Linked DNA regions of Stegostoma tigrinum. The protein of the gene in region 1 interacts with the protein of each later gene in a pairwise test. Links are inferred from orthologs where the notes say so. Each region holds a gene or a part of one and is shown on either strand. Other genes may lie near its edges.

Region 1 (9,955 bases):
CTCCCCGTGTCACCACCCCCCGTGCCCGGCCGTCTCCCCGTGTGACCCCCCCGTCTCCCCGTGTCACCCCCCCCGTGCCCCGCCGTCTCCCCGTGTCACCCCACCCTGTGCCCCGCCGTCTCCCCGTGTCACCCCCCCCGTGCCCCGCCGTCTCCCCGTGTCACCCCCCCCGTGCCCCGCCGTCTCCCCGTGTCACCCCCCCGTGCCCCGCCGTCTCCCCCCCCCGTGCCCCGCCGTCTCCCCCCCCCGTGCCCCGCCGTCTCCCCCCCCGTGCCCCGCCGTCTCCCCGTGTCACCCCCCCCGTGCCCCGCCGTCTCCCCGTGTCACCCCCCCCGTGCCCCGCCGTCTCCCCGTGTCACCCCACCGCGTGCCCCGCCGTCTCCCCGTGTCACCCCCCCCGTGCCCCGCCGTCTCCCCGTGTCACCCCCCCGTGCCCCGCCGTCTCCCCGTGTCACCCCCGCCGTGCCCCGCCGTCTCCCCGTGTCACCCCCCCGTGCCCCGCCGTCTCCCCCCCCCAGTGCCCCGCCGTCTCCCCGTGTCACCCCCCCCGTGCCCCGCCGTCTCCCCGTGTCACCCCCCCCGTGCCCCGCCGTCTCCCCGTGTCACCCCCCCCGTGCCCCGCCGTCTCCCCCCCCCAGTGCCCCGCCGTCTCCCCGTGTCACTCCCCCCGTGCCCCGCCGTCTCCCCGTGTCACCCCCCCGTGCCCCGCCGTCTCCCCGTGTCACCCCCCCGTGCCCCGCCGTCTCCCCGTGTCACCCCCCCCCCGTGCCCCGCCGTCTCCCCGTGTCACCCCCCCCGTGCCCCGCCGTCTCCCCGTGTCACCCCCCCCGTGCCCCGCCGTCTCCCCGTGTCACCCCCCCCCCGTGCCCCGCCGTCTCCCCGTGTCACCCCCCCCGTGCCCCGCCGTCTCCCCGTGTCACCCCCCCCGTGCCCCGCCGTCTCCCCGTGTCACCCCCCCCGTGCCCCGCCGTCTCCCCGTGTCACCCCCCCCGTGCCCCGCCGTCTCCCCGTGTGACCCCCCCGTCTCCCCGTGTGACCCCCCCCGTGCCCCGCCGTCTCCCCGTGTCACCCCCCCCGTGCCCCGCCGTCTCCCCGTGTCACCCCCCCCGTGCCCCGCCGTCTCCCCGTGTCACCCCCCCCGTGCCCCGCCGTCTCCCCCCCCCAGTGCCCCGCCGTCTCCCCGTGTCACTCCCCCCGTGCCCCGCCGTCTCCCCGTGTCACCCCCCCGCGTGCCCCGCCGTCTCCCCGTGTCACCCCCCCCGTGCCCCGCCGTCTCCCCGTGTCACCCCCCCCGTGCCCCGCCGTCACCCCCCCCCAGTGCCCCGCCGTCTCCCCGTGTCACCCCCCCCGTGCCCCGCCGTCTCCCCGTGTCACCCCCCCCGTGCCCCGCCGTCTCCCCGTGTCACCCCCCGTGCCCCGCCGTCTCCCCGTGTCACGCCGCCCAGTGCCCCGCCGTCTCCCCGTGTCACCCCCCGTGCCCCGCCGTCTCCCCGTGTCACCCCCCCCGTGCCCCGCCGTCACCCCCCCCCAGTGCCCCGCCGTCTCCCCGTGTCACCCCCCGTGCCCCGCCGTCTCCCCGTGTCACCCCCCCCGTGCCCCGCCGTCACCCCCCCCCCAGTGCCCCGCCGTCTCCCCGTGTCACCCCCCCCGTGCCCCGCCGTCTCCCCGTGTCACCCCCCGTGCCCCGCCGTCTCCCCGTGTCACGCCGCCCAGTGCCCCGCCGTCTCCCCGTGTCACCCCCCGTGCCCCGCCGTCTCCCCGTGTCACGCCGCCCAGTGCCCCGCCGTCTCCCCGTGTCACCCCCCGTGCCCCGCCGTCTCCCCGTGTCACGCCGCCCAGTGCCCCGCCGTCTCCCCGTGTCACTCCCCCCCACCCCAGTGCCCCGCCGTCTCCCCGTGTCACTCCCCCCCCCCAGTGCCCCGCCGTCTCCCCGTGTCACTCCCCCCCCCAGTGCCCCGCCGTCTCCCCGTGTCACCCCCCCCGTGCCCCGCCGTCTCCCCGTGTCACCCCCCCCGTGCCCCGCCGTCTCCCCCCCCCAGTGCCCCGCCGTCTCCCCGTGTCACTCCCCCCGTGCCCCGCCGTCTCCCCGTGTCACCCCCCCGCGTGCCCCGCCGTCTCCCCGTGTCACCCCCCCCGTGCCCCGCCGTCTCCCCGTGTCACCCCCCCCGTGCCCCGCCGTCTCCCCGTGTCACCCCCCCCGTGCCCCGCCGTCACCCCCCCCCAGTGCCCCGCCGTCTCCCCGTGTCACCCCCCCCGTGCCCCGCCGTCTCCCCGTGTCACCCCCCCCGTGCCCCGCCGTCTCCCCGTGTCACCCCCCGTGCCCCGCCGTCTCCCCGTGTCACGCCGCCCAGTGCCCCGCCGTCTCCCCGTGTCACCCCCCGTGCCCCGCCGTCTCCCCGTGTCACGCCGCCCAGTGCCCCGCCGTCTCCCCGTGTCACTCCCCCCCACCCCAGTGCCCCGCCGTCTCCCCGTGTCACTCCCCCCCCCCAGTGCCCCGCCGTCTCCCCGTGTCACCCCCCCCGTGCCCCGCCGTCTCCCCGTGTCACCCCCCCGTGCCCCGCCGTCGCCCCGTGTCACCCCCCCCCAGTGCCCCGCCGTCTCCCCGTGTCACCCCCCCCGTGCCCCGCCGTCTCCCCGTGTCACCCCCCGTGCCCCGCCGTCTCCCCGTGTCACTCCCCCCCCCCAGTGCCCCGCCGTCTCCCCGTGTCACTCCCCCCCCCCCAGTGCCCCGCCGTCTCCCCGTGTCACCCCCCCCAGTGCCCCGCCGTCACCCCGTGTCACTCCCCCCCCCCCCCAGTGCCCCGCAGTCACCCCGTGTCACTCCCCCCCCCCCAGTGCCCCGCCGTCTCCCCGTGTCACTCCCCCCCCCCCAGTGCCCCGCCGTCTCCCCGTGTCACCCCCCGTGCCCCGCCGTCTCCCCGTGTCACTCCCCCCCCCCAGTGCCCCGCCGTCTCCCCGTGTCACCCCCCCCAGTGCCCCGCCGTCTCCCCGTGTCACTTCCCCCCCCCCCAGTGCCCCGCCGTCTCCCCGTGTCACTTCCCCCCCCCCCAGTGCCCCGCCGTCTCCCCGTGTCACTCCCCCCCCAGTGCCCCGCCGTCTCCCCGTGTCACTCCCCCCCGTGCCCCGCCGTCTCCCCGTGTCACTCCCCCCCGTGCCCCGCCGTCTCCCCGTGTCACCCCCCCCGTGCCCCGCCGTCTCCCCGTGTCACCCCCCCCGTGCCCCGCCGTCTCCCCGTGTCACCCCCCCCGTCTCCCCGTGTGACCCCCCCCGTGCCCCGCCGTCTCCCCGTGTCACCCCCCCGTCTCCCCGTGTGACCCCCCCCGTGCCCCGCCGTCTCCCCGTGTCACCCCACCCCGTGCCTCGCCGTCTCCCCGTGTCACCCCCCCGTGCCCCGCTGTCTCCCCGTGTCACCCCCCCCGTGCCCCGCCGTCTCCCCTTGTCACCCCCCCGTGCCCCGCCGTCTCCCCGTGTCACTCCCCCCGTGCCCCGCCGTCTCCCCGTGTCACCCCCCCGCGTGACCCGCCGTCTCCCCGTGTCACCCCCCCCCGTGCCCCGCCGTCTCCCCGTGTCACCCCCCCCCGTGCCCCGCCGTCTCCCCGTGTCACCCCCCCCGTGCCCCGCCGTCTCCCCGTGTCACCCCCCCCCGTGCCCCGCCGTCTCCCCGTGTCACCCCCCCCGTGCCCCGCCGTCTCCCCGTGTCACCCCCCCCCGTGCCCCGCCGTCTCCCCGTGTCACCCCCCCCGTGCCCCGCCGTCTCCGCGTGTCACCCCCCCCGTGCCCCGCCGTCTCCCCCCCCCAGTGCCCCGCCGTCTCCCCGTGTCACTCCCCCGTGCCCCGCCGTCTCCCCGTGTCACCCCCCCGCGTGCCCCGCCGTCTCCCCGTGTCACCCCCCCCGTGCCCCGCCGTCTCCCCGTGTCACCCCCCCCGTGCCCCGCCGTCTCCCCGTGTCACCCCCCCCGTGCCCCGCCGTCACCCCCCCCAGTGCCCCGCCGTCTCCCCGTGTCACCCCCCCCGTGCCCCGCCGTCTCCCCGTGTCACCCCCCCCGTGCCCCGCCGTCTCCCCGTGTCACCCCCCGTGCCCCGCCGTCTCCCCGTGTCACACCGCCCAGTGCCCCGCCGTCTCCCCGTGTCACCCCCCGTGCCCCGCCGTCTCCCCGTGTCACGCCGCCCAGTGCCCCGCCGTCTCCCCGTGTCACTCCCCCCCCCCCAGTGCCCCGCCGTCTCCCCGTGTCACTCCCCCCCCCCAGTGCCCCGCCGTCTCCCCGTGTCACCCCCCCCAGTGCCCCGCCGTCTCCCCGTGTCACTTCCCCCCCCCCAGTGCCCCGCCGTCTCCCCGTGTCACTCCCCCCCCCCAGTGCCCCGCCGTCTCCCCGTGTCACTCCCCCCAGTGCCCCGCCGTCTCCCCGTGTCACTCCCCCCCCCCCCAGTGCCCCGCCGTCTCCCCGTGTCACTCCCCCCCCCCAGTGCCCCGCCGTCTCCCCGTGTCACTCCCCCCCCCCAGTGCCCCGCCGTCTCCCCGTGTCACTCCCCCCCCCCCCAGTGCCCCGCCGTCTCCCCGTGTCACTCCCCCCAGTGCCCCGCCGTCTCCCCGTGTCACTCCCCCCCCCAGTGCCCCGCCGTCTCCCCGTGTCACTCCCCCCAGTGCCCCGCCGTCTCCCCGTGTCACTCCCCCCAGTGCCCCGCCGTCTCCCCGTGTCACTCCCCCCAGTGCCCCGCCGTCTCCCCGTGTCACTCCCCCCCCCCAGTGCCCCGCCGTCTCCCCGTGTCACTCCCCCCCCCAGTGCCCCGCCGTCTCCCCGTGTCACTCCCCCCAGTGCCCCGCCGTCTCCCCGTGTCACTCCCCCCCCCCAGTGCCCCGCCGTCTCCCCGTGTCACTCCCCCCAGTGCCCCGCCGTCTCCCCGTGTCACTCCCCCCAGTGCCCCGCCGTCTCCCCGTGTCACTCCCCCCCCCCCAGTGCCCCGCCGTCTCCCCGTGTCACTCCCCCCCCCCCAGTGCCCCGCCGTCTCCCCGTGTCACTCCCCCCAGTGCCCCGCCGTCTCCCCGTGTCACTCCCCCGCCCCCCAGTGCCCCGCCGTCTCCCCGTGTCACTCCCCCCCCCCAGTGCCCCGCCGTCTCCCCGTGTCACTCCCCCCCCCCCCCAGTGCCCCGCCGTCTCCCCGTGTCACTCCCCCCCCCCCCCAGTGCCCCGCCGTCTCCCCGTGTCACTCCCCCCCCCCCCAGTGCCCCGCCGTCTCCCCGTGTCACTCCCCCCCCCCCCAGTGCCCCGCCGTCTCCCCGTGTCACTCCCCCCACCCCAGTGCCCCGCCGTCTCCCCGTGTCACTCCCCCCCCCCAGTGCCCCGCCGTCTCCCCGTGTCACTCCCCCCAGTGCCCCGCCGTCTCCCCGTGTCACTCCCCCCAGTGCCCCGCCGTCTCCCCGTGTCACTCCCCCCCCCCCCAGTGCCCCGCCGTCTCCCCGTGTCACTCCCCCCAGTGCCCCGCCGTCTCCCCGTGTCACTCCCCCCCCCCCCAGTGCCCCGCCGTCTCCCCGTGTCACTCCCCCCACCCCAGTGCCCCGCCGTCTCCCCGTGTCACTCCCCCCAGTGCCCCGCCGTCTCCCCGTGTCACTCCCCCCCCCCCAGTGCCCCGCCGTCTCCCCGTGTCACTCCCCCCCCCCAGTGCCCCGCCGTCTCCCCGTGTCACTCCCCCCCCCCCAGTGCCCCGCCGTCTCCCCGTGTCACTCCCCCCCCCCAGTGCCCCGCCGTCTCCCCGTGTCACTCCCCCCCCCCAGTGCCCCGCCGTCTCCCCGTGTCACTCCCCCCCCCCAGTGCCCCGCCGTCTCCCCGTGTCACTCCCCCCCCCCAGTGCCCCGCCGTCTCCCCGTGTCACTCCCCCCAGTGCCCCGCCGTCTCCCCGTGTCACTCCCCCGCCCCCCAGTGCCCCGCCGTCTCCCCGTGTCACTCCCCCCCCCCCCAGTGCCCCGCCGTCTCCCCGTGTCATCCCCCACCAAGCGCTCGCCGGTTCCCCATGTCAAACGCCTCAGTACCTCTCCATCTCCCACCCCTATCTCCGGAAGTGCGCGGCCGAGTTCAGGCAGCTCCTTCCGCTCGGCGCTGATTGGCCGCCGCTGCCCCACGGATCGGGGATCAGTTTGTTTACACCGGAGCCGGAGCTGGGGGGCGGGGGTCTGCAGCTGGAGAGAACTTTCCAGAACCATGAGTGAACGGCACAGCAACCAGGAGGAGAGCCTGCAGGGTAAGTGAGCTCAGGGCTCGTCCGAGCGGCTGGGTGCGGATAGACCAATGTCCTCCGGGTATCGGCCCTCTCCCCGGGGACTTACCCCGACCCTGACCACCGCCGTGGAGAGGCCCAGACTCAGACCCCACTCCGGGGAGGTGGGGGAGGGGAGTTAACCGCTCCTCCTTTGCTGCCTGCCTCTCCGTTCGACAGCGGGTAAGCCTGATGATCGGGGATTAACTGCAGCCTGCCTGATTTGTTGTCCTTGCACCGAATCTCGGTACAACTCCCTTTGTAACCAAAGCAGCTTGTGGATGAGAGCACTGCCGCAGAATATAAACCAAATCCACACAGCACATCCGCTGTTTGTTCACTGAGTATATTCTTTCTGAACCTTTACTGCAAAATTCTCTCACAAATGAATTTTAATTACTTGCTCACTGATAAAACACGCAATGGTATAGGCTGCCTGTTTATTCTGTACGGAGCTGTTATGAATTTTCCCCTTTATTGGGATAGTTCTACTGTCGGTTAATGTAACATCTAAAATGGCAGCTTAACTGTAGAAGAAAACAAGTTCAGCAAAGACCGAAGTATTCCTCTGTTTTCTATGCCAGGTACAATGGGCTAGATTTTCTGTCCACTCCCTGCCCTATTGACTGGGGCAACGCACTGATTCATTGTATTTACCAAAGGATATGAACTCCTGATCTCTGATCTTCCTAGGGCGCTAGGGTCCTCAGTCTCTGACTGACCTGTGGCAGACTGGAGTCAAAATCTTGTTACAAAGGGCTCCTAAAGCCTCCTCACCTTTGAATGATCGACTTGTGCCCAGCAGGTGTGTCTCACATTCTGTTGGATTCATCTACACCGAGTATTATCCTTATTCCCCGCACCCATCGCCCCACTCACTTTTCAAAATGCACGCTCAAGTGACTCCCAGCAGATGATTGCAACTTGCAGAATGTATATGCGCAAACTTCTCATGAGATGTATCAATGGCACATCCCAGACTTCCCATTTTTAAATTATTGTGCAGAGCATGCCAGGCTGAATGAGCAGCACATGGGGTTTGAAATGCACCAAACAGTATGTATCCTTTAGAGTCTCAGCCCACTTAACAATTCGGTCAGGCTTTACATGCACCCCTTCTCCAACCCTCCTTCAACTTTTTGAAATAGCCACCAGCTTCCCATGATGTCCTAAACAAGACTATAAATTTTCACCCTATATCTTTACTGCATGTGTTCTGTGGCTGCTATATCTTGATCTTGCCTGTGACCACATGCCAAGAGGTTATTCTTGCTGTGGATGTACAATCTTGCATAGGTTTTGCTTTTTGCTTGCACCATGCTTCATGTTGGATATCCAAAATATATGCTTATGTGAATACTAAGATTTTTATATCAATGTTGATTTGAAGCAGGCATGCAACTTTCACAGATGGCAACAGAAACAAACTAAAAAGAACAACATTATTTTTGTAGTGTAGTTTGATATTGTTGCTTTTGTAATGTTTAAAGGATGGTTCATACTAACTATAACACTGCTGGAATTAATTACACCAAGGAATAAATTTAGAAAGTTTCTCTTCCATCTTAGAAGCTAACCTGTCAAGAATACCTTTTGGAGATGTTGTCTTCTTTCCCCAAAATTTTTTAATGATCAATTTTAATGCATAGTTGCAGGCTCATTTGATGAGACTCAACATCAACAGCTCATTTTCATAATATTGCCTCTATTCCCAAACACTGCTAAATTGAGTAGATTTCAAAAGAAAGTTGCATGTGGCTTGGCTTCTAAATACTCTAGAAGCAGTGTGCCTCAAGAAAGTTGTTAGCTGTGTATGTCAATATAAAACTTTGCAAATTGATTTGGAGCTAACCATATAAGCGTGGTTTGTAATGATTGGCGTAAGAAGAAACAGTTATGTTTATAAACAAGTACTACTCAGTTGGTTTGACAGTTGATCTGAATATTGAGTTTAATTCCAGTACTGACTCAGCTTACCATGAAGGACTGTTCTTCTCATCCTGTCCCTTTGAGGTGTGGTGACCTTCTTCTTAAAGCACCACCAGCCATCTCTTTCAAATGAAAGAGCAACCCTATTGTCATGTAAAACTATGGTGATGTGACTTACAAGTGTCTACTAACTTTATGTAATGAACTAAATTCCAAAGAAAATCATCTTGCATTTCTCCAATAAGTTGTTTTATTTTTCATTTTGTGCTTTTCCCTCCTAACTATCCCTGTCTATAAGATAGTAGGAAGGGTCTAGGCATGAAACGTCAGTCTTCCTGCTCCTCTGATGCCATTTGGCCTGCTGTGCAGGGATAACACCTTGTTATCCCTGTTTATGATCATATTTATGGCCCCAGACAGCAAGATTAACAATTGGAACAGTATCTTTTTAACCTTGGTGTACTAAACACAAACTAGATCAACAACCCATGCGTATAATTGTTTTGTATAAATAATCAAATAATTATTTGATTGAATAAAATTTGTTTGACATGCCGGGGCAACAAAATATAAAATATAACCGCCCTTTCTAAGGGATGTGCTCTGTTTTGGTGCACATATATAGCAGTCAGTACTATTGAGTATTGCTTGTGTCATTAGTTGTTGCACTTCAGTTTAGATCCATTTGTTTATGTGACATCTAGAGGGGAATGTACATGTGATCGCTCCTGTACTCAGTTCTGGTGCTTCCCTCTAAAACTTCCATAAAATGGGAGTGGTGTTCACACTGGATTTACTGCAGTAGGTCAGACATTCTGACTTTCTTTTCTTCATTCAAGTCCTGGGGATCAAGTCTTGTAGGGATTCTGTGACCTGATCAATGATCTTCTGTGATCCTCTTTCTATCATCTTGCCAATAGATTGATTAGTTCCTTGGCTTTAACAGTGTGCGGATACAAAGGGAGCATCGTATAATGTTCATCTCACATTACTCTAAAGATGTCTTGGCAATGTGCAGAGCTAAAATGATTACCTGTCTGGGCTGAATAGTTGCATGATCTCACTCAGAAAAAGACAATAGTTGGGATGGAGGGTGATGTTCTAACGGTACTTAACATGGAAGGTACATGTATACTGCAATTTAAAGGTAATTTACCATGAGTGTAGGGTATTAAGTCAAGTAAAAATGAGGCAAGCATCTTACTCCTCATCCCCAGAAGCATGCCTTGGGAATTCCAGCAATTTCTGGCAAACAAGAATTGAGAAATATGGCCACACCAGTATGTGTTACTCACAGTATGAAGCTTTGTAACTAGAACAGCAAATTTTAGAAAGTTGTTGCCAATTATTTTTACAAAGACAAAACTAAATTATCATTGGCTTTGCTGATTTGTCTCATTTGATTAGTTCAGAACATCTCTTCACTTATGGTAGCTAAGTTTCGATGGAAACATCTATCCTTTATGAGTTTTTGAAAAGTAAACAACTGTTCGAGTGACATATTTGATGTAACGTGCTGGGTCACCATAAGGAACAAAAATAGTCCCTGTAGTAATTGTGTGTGAAAGGCTCAATTCTATCCAGTGCAGGGAAAAAAGAGCTGATCATAAAGAACACATTATATGCAACTTGAATATACTATTAATACTGACATTAAAATGTTTGGGCAAGTTAATTGAAAAAATTTCGACCTGTAATCTAGAAAATGTGGTGGACTATAAAGAGGAGTGCACTTGATCAAAGCAGTGTGGCAGTTGCTTTATTTTCAGTGAAGGAC
Region 2 (10,152 bases), on another chromosome or scaffold:
ATAGACTGGCTTCATAAACAATAAAAAAATTCATTTTGTCCCTGTAAATCATCCTACTTACTCCAAAATAATCTGCAATTTTGCACCTTTATTTCTGCCACATGTAATTATGCCCATTGGATTATCCAGGTTCACTGATTTACAACAACCATTTAACACTCAAGCAATCGAATAAACATTATTTGATATACACAGAGAATGTACAGTTTCAAGTAGTTGTCAGCAAACCATGGTTCTGGTACAAGTTATCCAACCTTTCTAATATTGACCATTGTGAAATTACTGATGTTAAATGTAGGAAATCTTTATGTACAAAGAAATATTTGCCTGCAGACAAATGCAGAGAAAATCAAAATTCTAGATATAATTTCTTGACTATATAATATACTCAGACTTCTTGTAGTTCCTTCAAACGCCCCAAAAAACTAAAGAACTATTTAATCTCATCACTTCAGAATGGACAGAACCACCTGTAAATGCATACTAGTTGCAAATATAGGTTATCTAATTTGTGGATTATGTTCAAGTGGAACAAAGGTGGGACAAAATTGGAAAAGATGTAACCAAATGTCTCTTCTTCAGACTTTTTCACAAAAACAAAATTCTAAGACTTTCTTTGCCAGAATCAATAATCAGTTTTTGATCCCCAATAAAATTAAAAGAAATCTAAAAAACACTTTAGAGAGCAAAAGCACAATTCAAAAGATTAATTCAACTATAAATCAGTAAGCAATTGCCAATTTTTGCCAAGATCCTGGAGTAAAATAGGAATTTTACAATAAGATCCTGCTAAAACTTTTCCTTAATATAAGGAACTGGAATATTTGCAAACACCAGAATTTTAGATCAAGCATAATAATTGCTATCCAAACTTTGGCTAACCACAGTCACTATAACGAACCAGAAGTTGGTACATTAGCTCTCACCTTGAAATAGCATGGTTCCATAAATCAGGAAGCTACTGTCATTGCTAGAATCTTGAAAACAGCAATTGACAGCATTGATTGAGAAGATAATGCCTCTGTACTGGCTGTGACAAACAGTTCATGCTTACTGCTACATTACCGCCTGTTGTCTATAACCCCATAAATTCTTCACTTTCAACTACCTTGTAGAGTTTCTTTAAAAAATATTGTTGAAATCAAACTTTGATTTTCAACCATTTGTAAGCTCTAGTTACTGATCCAGAGTCATTAGATATTCTCTACCTAATCAAAACCTTATCTTAAACCTTCTATGTTTCAAACAGAGTAGTCACCAAAGGATGTACAGATACAGCAGGAACTAGGAAGGGAACAGATTTGTAGAGAGAAAAATAAATCAATGCTGCAGACAACTGTTGCATAATTTGTAACTAGCTTGTGTACTGCAAAAGAAGAGCTTTTAAATGTGAAAAATATACGAAAAGCATCTTTAATTGCTACAAATTACAAAGCTCTAGTTCAGACTATTGATTATACTCATGGGTCTTTATGATTCCTTTTCCTTGTAAAACTTAAAAAAAAATAATAATTTGAAAGTAAGCATTCAAAGTACAGATCCTACTTGAATTAAAACAGCTTCTCAATGGGAATTGAGGAATGATAATATTGTGACCGGTTTGAATGGTGCAGGCTTCGAGGAGAGTGGCAACAGAAGATATCCTATCCCATACGGTAGACAAAATTATAGATTCAACAAATAATAAAGTATCAATCCGGTTCAGCTTGCATATATTTCATCTCCTGAAAACTATGGGATCAATCTCCATCTCCTAACTGTCTGGTGTAAAGCAGTAATTTAAAAAAAGGAATGTAAAACAATGGAAAGTAAGAATACTGACTAATTGTTTGTGAAAAAGAAAAAAATGAAAAGCAGTTTTGATTTATATGAGATATGTACACTGAATGCTTATATTTGATTTATTTTTGTTAAATTTTACAAGGTAAAGAAATCATGAAGAGTCATCACTATAATCAATAGTCTGAACTAGAGCTTTGTAACTTTTAACCATTAAAGATGTTTTTCCTATATTTTTCACATCTAAAAAGGTAGTCACTGTTATGACTGTAAAGTGCTTTTCAATAGCTTAAAGACAGCATTAATGCTATATAAATACAAGTTCTAAAAATTATTCATTTAATCTGGAGGCTGATCATATTTATGTAGTAAGCACCCTAAGTTTAACTAATTGCACTTGGTATTTTAAAGTAGTTTTGCTGCACAAATTAATCTGAAGTGATTTTAACAGTGTTCTCATTTGGAACTGTCAAATAGAAAGCAAATACAGATATCTAAGATCTCACTAAAAACAATTAATTGTTGACATCATAGTTTAAAGTCCTGTATTCATTACATCAGAACTTCACTGCTGAAAACAACTCATCAGGATTTCAACTTGAACTGATCCTTAATAACATTATCACAGCATAACATTTATATATTTTGTATGTAAGATATTTTGTGAACAGATGTCTAGATGTAGGATGAAGAAGATTTATACAAGAGAGCAAATCCATAATCCCTCAAAAGAACATATGCTGTTGACTAAAATAATACCCAGAACCAGACATAATGCCAGATAAGTAGTGATTAAACTGATTACAACAGCAATATTAAACACAAATGTTTTCTTCACAGTCTTGAACATTTTTAATGGATGAACAATCTTCGTAAAGAATATTTTTCCTCAGAGAAATACTAAATAAATGTTAAGATACCCTATCTCTGACTTACATGGAAAGTCATTACAGCCATATTCTCCCAGAAACACAATCAACCCTAAATATTTACCAGTCAAAAAAATTAACCTTTGACATTTCTTATGCTTTCCAAACATTTTCCAACTATGACCCCCGTTTCTAATTTTGAAAATAATAATGACCCCTCAATGAAATGAGAGATTGGACTTGGGATTTGAGGGGGGCAGAGGTCTATGAGAGATGGAGAACAGCTGTTATAACTCGGTCAGAACTCCACAGCAGCCATGGTTGTCTCGGTGCTTGGAAGCCCAAAGTTTCAACTCTCAATACCACTTTGGGTCCTGAGCCCCATTTTGGGAAGCTCTGTTATTCAAAACTACACACTTATTGGTAATCACCTAAATCTATTCAGACTATCCAAGAGACGCTATGTTATAGGTCAACCAAAATCCTTAGATTCTTGAAATGCAAGCGTGTCTGTTATATCACATCATGATGACTGCTGTGTATGCAAACAAAGACCAAACTTGTACATCTAATGAATGAGATCATCACTCGAAATAACAAGCCTTGCACAGTACATGGATGAAAATATCTTGCAGATAGAATAGCCAGCTGCCCATTGGGGTACAAAGTGGTACGCCATGATTTATGCTTAGCGAAGTAAATATATACACCTCTAAAAGCTATGAACGTAAACGGTACAGCTTTTTGTTGGGGTAGCATCAAGTCATTTTACAGCTTATCCAGGTTTCTACGAGAATACAAGAAAATTGAGGACAGAATGCAATCACAATACAGACTGAAGAAACGATATGGACTAAAGATCCAACAGAAATACATAACTATGGAACAGTTCAAGACCTAACAAGTATGCCATGCAGAAGAAGCTGCATGTATATCGGGCATTCAAACTCAACTAAAAACACGTGGCTTCGGAAACATTAACAAACACCCACCTGTGGCTGGTGATGCAACGTAGAAAAGGGTGGCCAGAAGTGGATGAATGTGAAGGCTGTATAGATATGTTGGGCGATGGAAGTGGGCAGGAAAGGTGATAGGAGGGAAACATTTTATTGAGTGGGAAGGTGTGTAGGTGATGCAAGTGGGCAGGAAACAGACCGTCCCACACAGTCTCTCTCCTTTGCAGGTAAAGGGGGTGGATGATGCTGACAATCTCAAGAATAGTCAAGTGATGAGGGTGAGTGAAGGTGTATCCTGGCCACTGGTTACATACCCAGTCTCCATTGGCGCGGATCCAGTCAGTGAGGCTGCTGTCCAGGTAAGCGGTCATCCAAGCGGCGATGTTATCAATGAGCGATGCCATGTCCCTCCTCTTGGCGCTCTCCACGCACAGGGTGCCACCGAACACGAAGAAAGCCACGACCCGGCCCCAGTTGACTCCATCGCGGAACAGCTCCTCGGCCACCGCCTCGAAGCGGCCGCGGGCACTCTCGGGCTCGAAGCGCATCTGCAGCGCTATGTCGGCGAACTCCTGCTGGTACTGGCGCTCGAAGCTGTCGCCCACCTCGCGGAGGACGCGGTGCGCTTTGTCGGCGGCGGACGCCCGGGGCCGGCCGGGGCTCGGTGAGCTGGGGGTCGGAGAGCCGGCAGCGGTGTCTAGGGGCTCCTCCCACACAAATCCCTGGCGGGACAGCCGGTAATACAGGTAATGGCAAACCAATTCACGGCTGCTGTAAGGCATCTCGTTCGAGCGGGGAAGAAGATGGTATTACAACAAAAACGAAATTGTTCAAATTTTGTCTCACAGCCAACAGCAGCACATCCCTGGAACCACTTCGGGGGACCACTTTGATAAAAAAGGACTTTTTTCCGCCTCAGGTGTCAACTTCACTGCGTCCCTGTAGCCTTAATCAATTTGATTTTGTTCCTCCAAACATGTTCCTTTTTTTGTTTCAAATCTTCCTCATAAAATCGCTCAAACTGCTCCCGGCTCCTCTTCCCCCCCCCCCCACACACACACACACACACACACACACCCCCGTTTTTAATTCCACTTTCCGTGCGTTGCAGTAATGGATTCCGTTTTGGTCGACTGCAAATTGCTCGTAAATTTAAACGCACATTTTCTTTTTCACCCTCTGTCAAAACGCTTGCTCCTCTGATGTGAGACGAATACGAAACTGACCCCAACAGACTGCAGTTTTTGAGAGGTTTTTCAGCTCCGTCCGTTGAAGGAAAGAGGAATTGTTCTGCCGCTCTCTCTCTCTCTCTCTCCCTCGTTATGATGGAGTTTTTGTATGTGTGTGGCGGCGGCTGCTGCTGCCGGATTTTCAGCTCCGAAACCTGACGTGTAGAATTAGATGTAAAGAGGAGCGGGACCAGCTGTCAGCCTCTGTTGCTGGCAAGTCAGTGAAGGGAGTGAGCGATAATCCCAAAGCGGTGGCTGGGTGATGGTGGCTGGTGTCGTACTGTTGAGGAGGAGATGGTGGGTGGGTGGGTGCGGGGGACTGGTGAGAGAAGGCTGCCCGCTTCCCTCAGTCGAAGCCGGCAGATCCAAGACTGCTCCAGCAGCTCCTGTCGATAGTGGGTGGGAGCAGTGTTTCTCCCCAGACCCCAGCCGGCAGCCCTTCCCCACCCCGCTCCACTCTTCCCTCCAGGCGGTTTTCTTTTCCTGTGCAGAGCTCGGTTCACCGCCCCCTCCACCGACTCCTGAAAACCCGGCGGAGAAGGTGTGTCCTGCGGCTCCCAGCCACCTCCAGAGCGGCTGCAGTCAGCGAGAGAGGAGGCCTCGGGCGCTGCAAACCCCGAACCCTTCCTTTTGCCTCTTCCTGCAGTCAGTCAGTCAGAGCCCCCGGGGCACAGATCTCTCTCTGTCTCATTTTCACACTCTGCACTTCATTCTCTTCCCCAGAAAACACGCAATATCCTGTACGTCACCATTTGCCGCTCACGGCATGTTCATTCACTAAAATCACTTACAGCCCGAGTGGGAGGCACCAAAGTGAGCAGTGGCTGCTCAGTGTCCCCGCCTCACTCCTCGTCTCATTCCTGGCCTCTCCACTGCGCCAGTCTGCCAAAAAAAACCAGCCTTCAGCGAGTGAACAAAACGTCTTTCTTGTGTTGAATCCGAAAGAAAGGAGAAACATTTTCAGCTGGTCCACAAACACGTCAAATCCCTCCTTTTTTGGAGGGAGGGCTGGGTGGTTAGGAAGACGTGGACTACAATCCCATGAACAGGTTTACAGGCTGATCATTTCTCGCCAGTAATGTGACAGGCTGCTGTCCTTTCGATGCACAGATCTGAAATCCAAACCTCGGGTGGATTGTAAGGGTTGTCAGCAACCTCCGTCCCTCCACCCCCAATAATTTATGCATGCGAGCTGTGTACCGATTTCAGATAAATACTGTTCTTTAATATTGAGCAACGGTTGGACTGAACACAGTGACACAACATGGAGTAGTCTGGTTGAAAGAGCAATCAAGGTGAAAGAATGTGAGCCTGAGGGTTCAGTTCTCCAAGATAAAGTCGATAATGTATTGTCAGTCAATGATCTACTGCATGAGCCATGTAGAGGGTAGGTGCAAGGAGTAGTTACCAAATTATTATATCGGAAAATATACATCACTTGAGTATTTCTGACTGTCATCTGAACCTAAAGACTTCTATCCTTGTCAGTAGTCCCTTGATTGGAAACACAGAAATTAGGAGCAGGAGTAGGCCATTGAGCCAATACCAGCCTCTCCACCTGCCAACATGATCATGGATCTATCCCAGGTGTTCTGAAGTAGGGCCACGGGATTTTATAAGTCAACTGTGCTTTCTATTCACAGATTCTACCAGACCTGCTGACTGTTCCCAGCAATTTATGTTCTTTGAAATGGAAAGAACTGCGGATGCTGTAAATCAGGAACAAAAACAAAGTTGCTGAAAAAGCCCAACAGGTCTGGCAACATTTGTGAAGGAAAAAAATTGTTAACATTTCGGGTCCGGTGACTGTTCCGTTCTGAAGTGTTCAGAGGAAGGGTCACCGGACCCGAAATGTTAACTCCTTTTTTCCTTCGCAGATGCTTCCAGAGCTATTGAGCTTTCCTGGCAACTTTGTTTACATCTCCGTTCTTTGTTTTTCTATCTCAGAGTCATACAACAGGTAAACAGGCTGTTCGGCCCAACTTGTCCACCAAGTTTCCTCAACTGAGCAAGTCTCATTTGCCTGCTTTTGGCCTATATCCCTCTTAACCTCTCCTATCCATCTACTGTCCAAATGTCTTTTTAATGTTGTAATTGTACCCAACTCTACCACTTCCTCTGGCAGCTTGTTCGTATACTCACCATCCTCTATGTGAAAATGTTGCCTCTCAGGTCCCTTGTAAATCTTTCCCCTCTCACCTTAAACCAATGCCATCTAGTTTTGGACTCACCTACCCTAGAGAAAAGACCTTGGCTTTTCATCTTATCTATGCCCCTTATGATTTTATAAACTTTTATAAGGTTATCCCTCAGCCTCTTATACCCCAGGGAAAAATGTCCTGGCAAGATCCCACGTTTCAGGTTAGTGATGGTGAGAAGGGGCTCAAAGGGGGAGTAAGAGGAGGAGAGGAGAGGAGGAGTTGGCAGTAAGGGCAGCTCTCAGCTGCCAGTGTTTCACTTCCTAATGTGCCTTTGAATGAGGAGGATCGCTTAAACTGGCAAGTGCACATGCCAGAGTTTATTTGTTGTGCAATGATCACAAATCCCTCACCTTCCACTGGGTTAATATCAGCATTTGGCAAGATGAACCCTTTAAGTAGGCATTGTCATCACCTGCTTTCCTCTCTCTTGATTAAATGGCCCGTTTCACCATGAAACCCACTGTGGGGTTGACCAGATGCTTTACCTAATAAAACTAAAGCAAACTAATAGCAATTTTTAAACTGCTCATCTTCTAGGTGATGAAATAACAGTACCATTAACTGAAATGCACCAAAGGGCTCATGAAGTGTTGGAAATTCAGGCTGACCATTTTAAAAATGAAATCATTATTATGACTAAACAATGCTGCTATAACCTAGTGCTTTTTATCTCAACACCCCTTTGATCCTATAGTTTGTGGTGTCTCCCAATTTATTTCTTAAATATATTCAGTGGTTTTGGCCTTGATACTCTTCTGTGGTAAAGAAATCCACAAATTCACCATCATCTGAGTGAGGAAATTTCTCATCTCATTCAGGAAATGGCTCACTGGCTTCCTAAGACTGTAATTCCTTTTTCTAGAGCACCTAGTCAGGGTGAACATCATATCTGCAGCAAGTCTGTTCAGCCTGCCAGAATTTTATACACTTCAATGGAATTTCATGTCCTTCTAAACTACGGTGAATTCAGCTGACCCAGTCTTTCCTCCTAGGAGAAACCTGCCATTGCATGAATCAGTCCGATGAACCTCCATTGCAGTCCAGCTATGATAAGTATATTTTATCAGGTCAGGCATCCGAAACTGCACATGATGCAGCAAGGCCCTGTAAAGTTGCAGCAACCTTGGCCTTGTACTTATATTTCTCAATATATCACTATTTAAATAATGTGGCACGCAATTGCTTTTTCTACTGAAGTATACAATTTCACACTTATCAACATTATTCTGCATCTGCCATGAAATTGCCCATCATGTTTTTTTAAAATCACCCTGAAGCCTTCTTACGTCTTCTAACTGATTCCCAATCATGCCGGTATATTGCACTTTGATTTTGCATTCTCAATTCCCTTTTATTTAGTGTGGTAATTCATTTGCCAACTTCTAGCCCAATGAGATTGTTCCAGAATCATAGAGTCATAGAGTTTTCATAACAAAGAAATAAGTCCTTCACCTATAGTATCCAGACTAGTCATCAAACATCCATCTCTTCTAATCTTATTTCCCAACATTTGGCCCGTAGCCTTGTATGCTAAGGCATTTCAAGTGTTCATCTAAACAGATCTTAAATGTCTTGAAGATTCCTGCCTCTAACACCCTTCCAGGCAGTGAGTTCCAGATATCCACAACCAATTTTGTGAAATAGTTTTCTTAAAGTCCCCTCTAAACCTTCTGCTCCTTATGTTAAGGAATTATCGACCCCTGCACTGAGAGGAAACCTTCTCTCTATTTAACCTGTCTGTGCCCGTCAAAATTATGGACACTTCAATCAGATCCTCTGCTTTCACCTTTGCTCTAATGAAAACACCGTTTGCCTATCTACTCTTCCTTCATACCTGAATCACTTCAGCCAATCAACATCCTGGTGAATCACTTTTGCACCCTCTCCAGCACAATCATATCTTTCCTATATAGTGTGGTAACTAGAACTGCACACAGTACTCCAATTTTGGCCTAACTAATCCTATATACAGCTCTGTCATAACCTTCTTGCTCTTGTATTCAGTGTCTTGACTGATAAGTGCAAGTAACCAAATGCCGCCTTAACCATTTTATCTATCTGTCCAGCTGGCTTTGGGAATCTATGGATGTGTACACCACAGTCTATAATCCTCTGTATTGCCTAGGGTGCTGCCATTCAATATGTACGCCGTTGTCTTGTAAATCTTCCCAAAATGCATTACCTCGTTTTTTAAGAATAAATTCTATTTGCCATCATTCAACCTATCTGTTTAGCCCATCTGTATTGTCCTGAAGTCTAAGGCTTTCCTCCTTATGACTTGCCACACCACCAATTTCTATACAACTGCAGACTTACTGATCATGCCTGCTACATTCACATCTAACTGATAATGTACACAAGAAACAGCAAGGGACCCAGTGCCAAACCATATGGTATACCACTGGACTCAGGGTTCCAGTCACAAAAAAAATCTTTGATCCTCTGATTCCTGTCATGAAGCCTATTTTGGATTTCTTTGCCGAATTGCTCTGGGTCCCATGGGCCCTTAGCTTTTTAACAAATCTACCATATAGAACATAAATCATTACAGTGCACTACAGGCCCAGATTTTGCGCCAACCTATGTAACCAATCTGAAGTCCATTTAACCTACACTATTCCATTATCATCCATATGTTTATCCAATGACCATTTAAATGCCCTTAAAGTTGGCAAGTCTACTACTGTTCCAGGCAGGGCATTCCACGCCCTTACTACTCTCTGAGAAAAGAACCTACCTCTGACATCTGTCCTATATCTATCACCGCTCAATTTAAAGCTATGTCCCCTTGTGCTAGCCATCACCACACGAGGAAAAAGGCCTTAAGGCCTTTGAAAAAAACCTTCCACCCTATCTAATCCTCTGATCATCTTGTATGTCTCTATTAAGTTGCCTCTTAACCTTCTTCTCTCTAACGAAAACAGCCTCAAGTCCCTCAGCCTATGTAAGACCTAGGCAAAAGCCTTCCTGAAATCCATGTAGACACATAAATTGCACTACCCTCATCTATACGCAGTCACATTCACATAAACTTAAATAAAAATTGTTAAATATGATCTTCCCCTTAGAAAGCCGCACTGACTCTCCTTGATTAATCCTTGCCAGTCCATGTGGAAAT

What was found. The genes of interacting proteins can lie anywhere in the genome.
Region 2: the proteins of bnip3 (region 1) and apoptosis regulator Bcl-2-like interact in a two-hybrid assay, tested with the Homo sapiens proteins (2 studies listed by BioGRID and IntAct). The link is inferred for Stegostoma tigrinum from reciprocal best matches to the Homo sapiens genes BNIP3 and BCL2.

Annotation. Positions count from the first base shown.
Region 1 is NC_081373.1:36,994,745-37,004,699, reverse strand, and holds the start of bnip3 (BCL2/adenovirus E1B 19 kDa protein-interacting protein 3), read left to right. Parts: upstream 1-6,037; 5' UTR 6,038-6,194; coding exon 6,195-6,234; intron 6,235-9,955. UniProt on the Homo sapiens protein: Apoptosis-inducing protein that can overcome BCL2 suppression. May play a role in repartitioning calcium between the two major intracellular calcium stores in association with BCL2.
Region 2 is NC_081355.1:54,575,746-54,585,897, reverse strand, and holds the start of apoptosis regulator Bcl-2-like, read right to left. Parts: upstream 4,641-10,152; 5' UTR 4,387-4,640; coding exon 3,919-4,386; intron 1-3,918. UniProt on the Homo sapiens protein: Suppresses apoptosis in a variety of cell systems including factor-dependent lymphohematopoietic and neural cells. Regulates cell death by controlling the mitochondrial membrane permeability. Appears to function in a feedback loop system with caspases.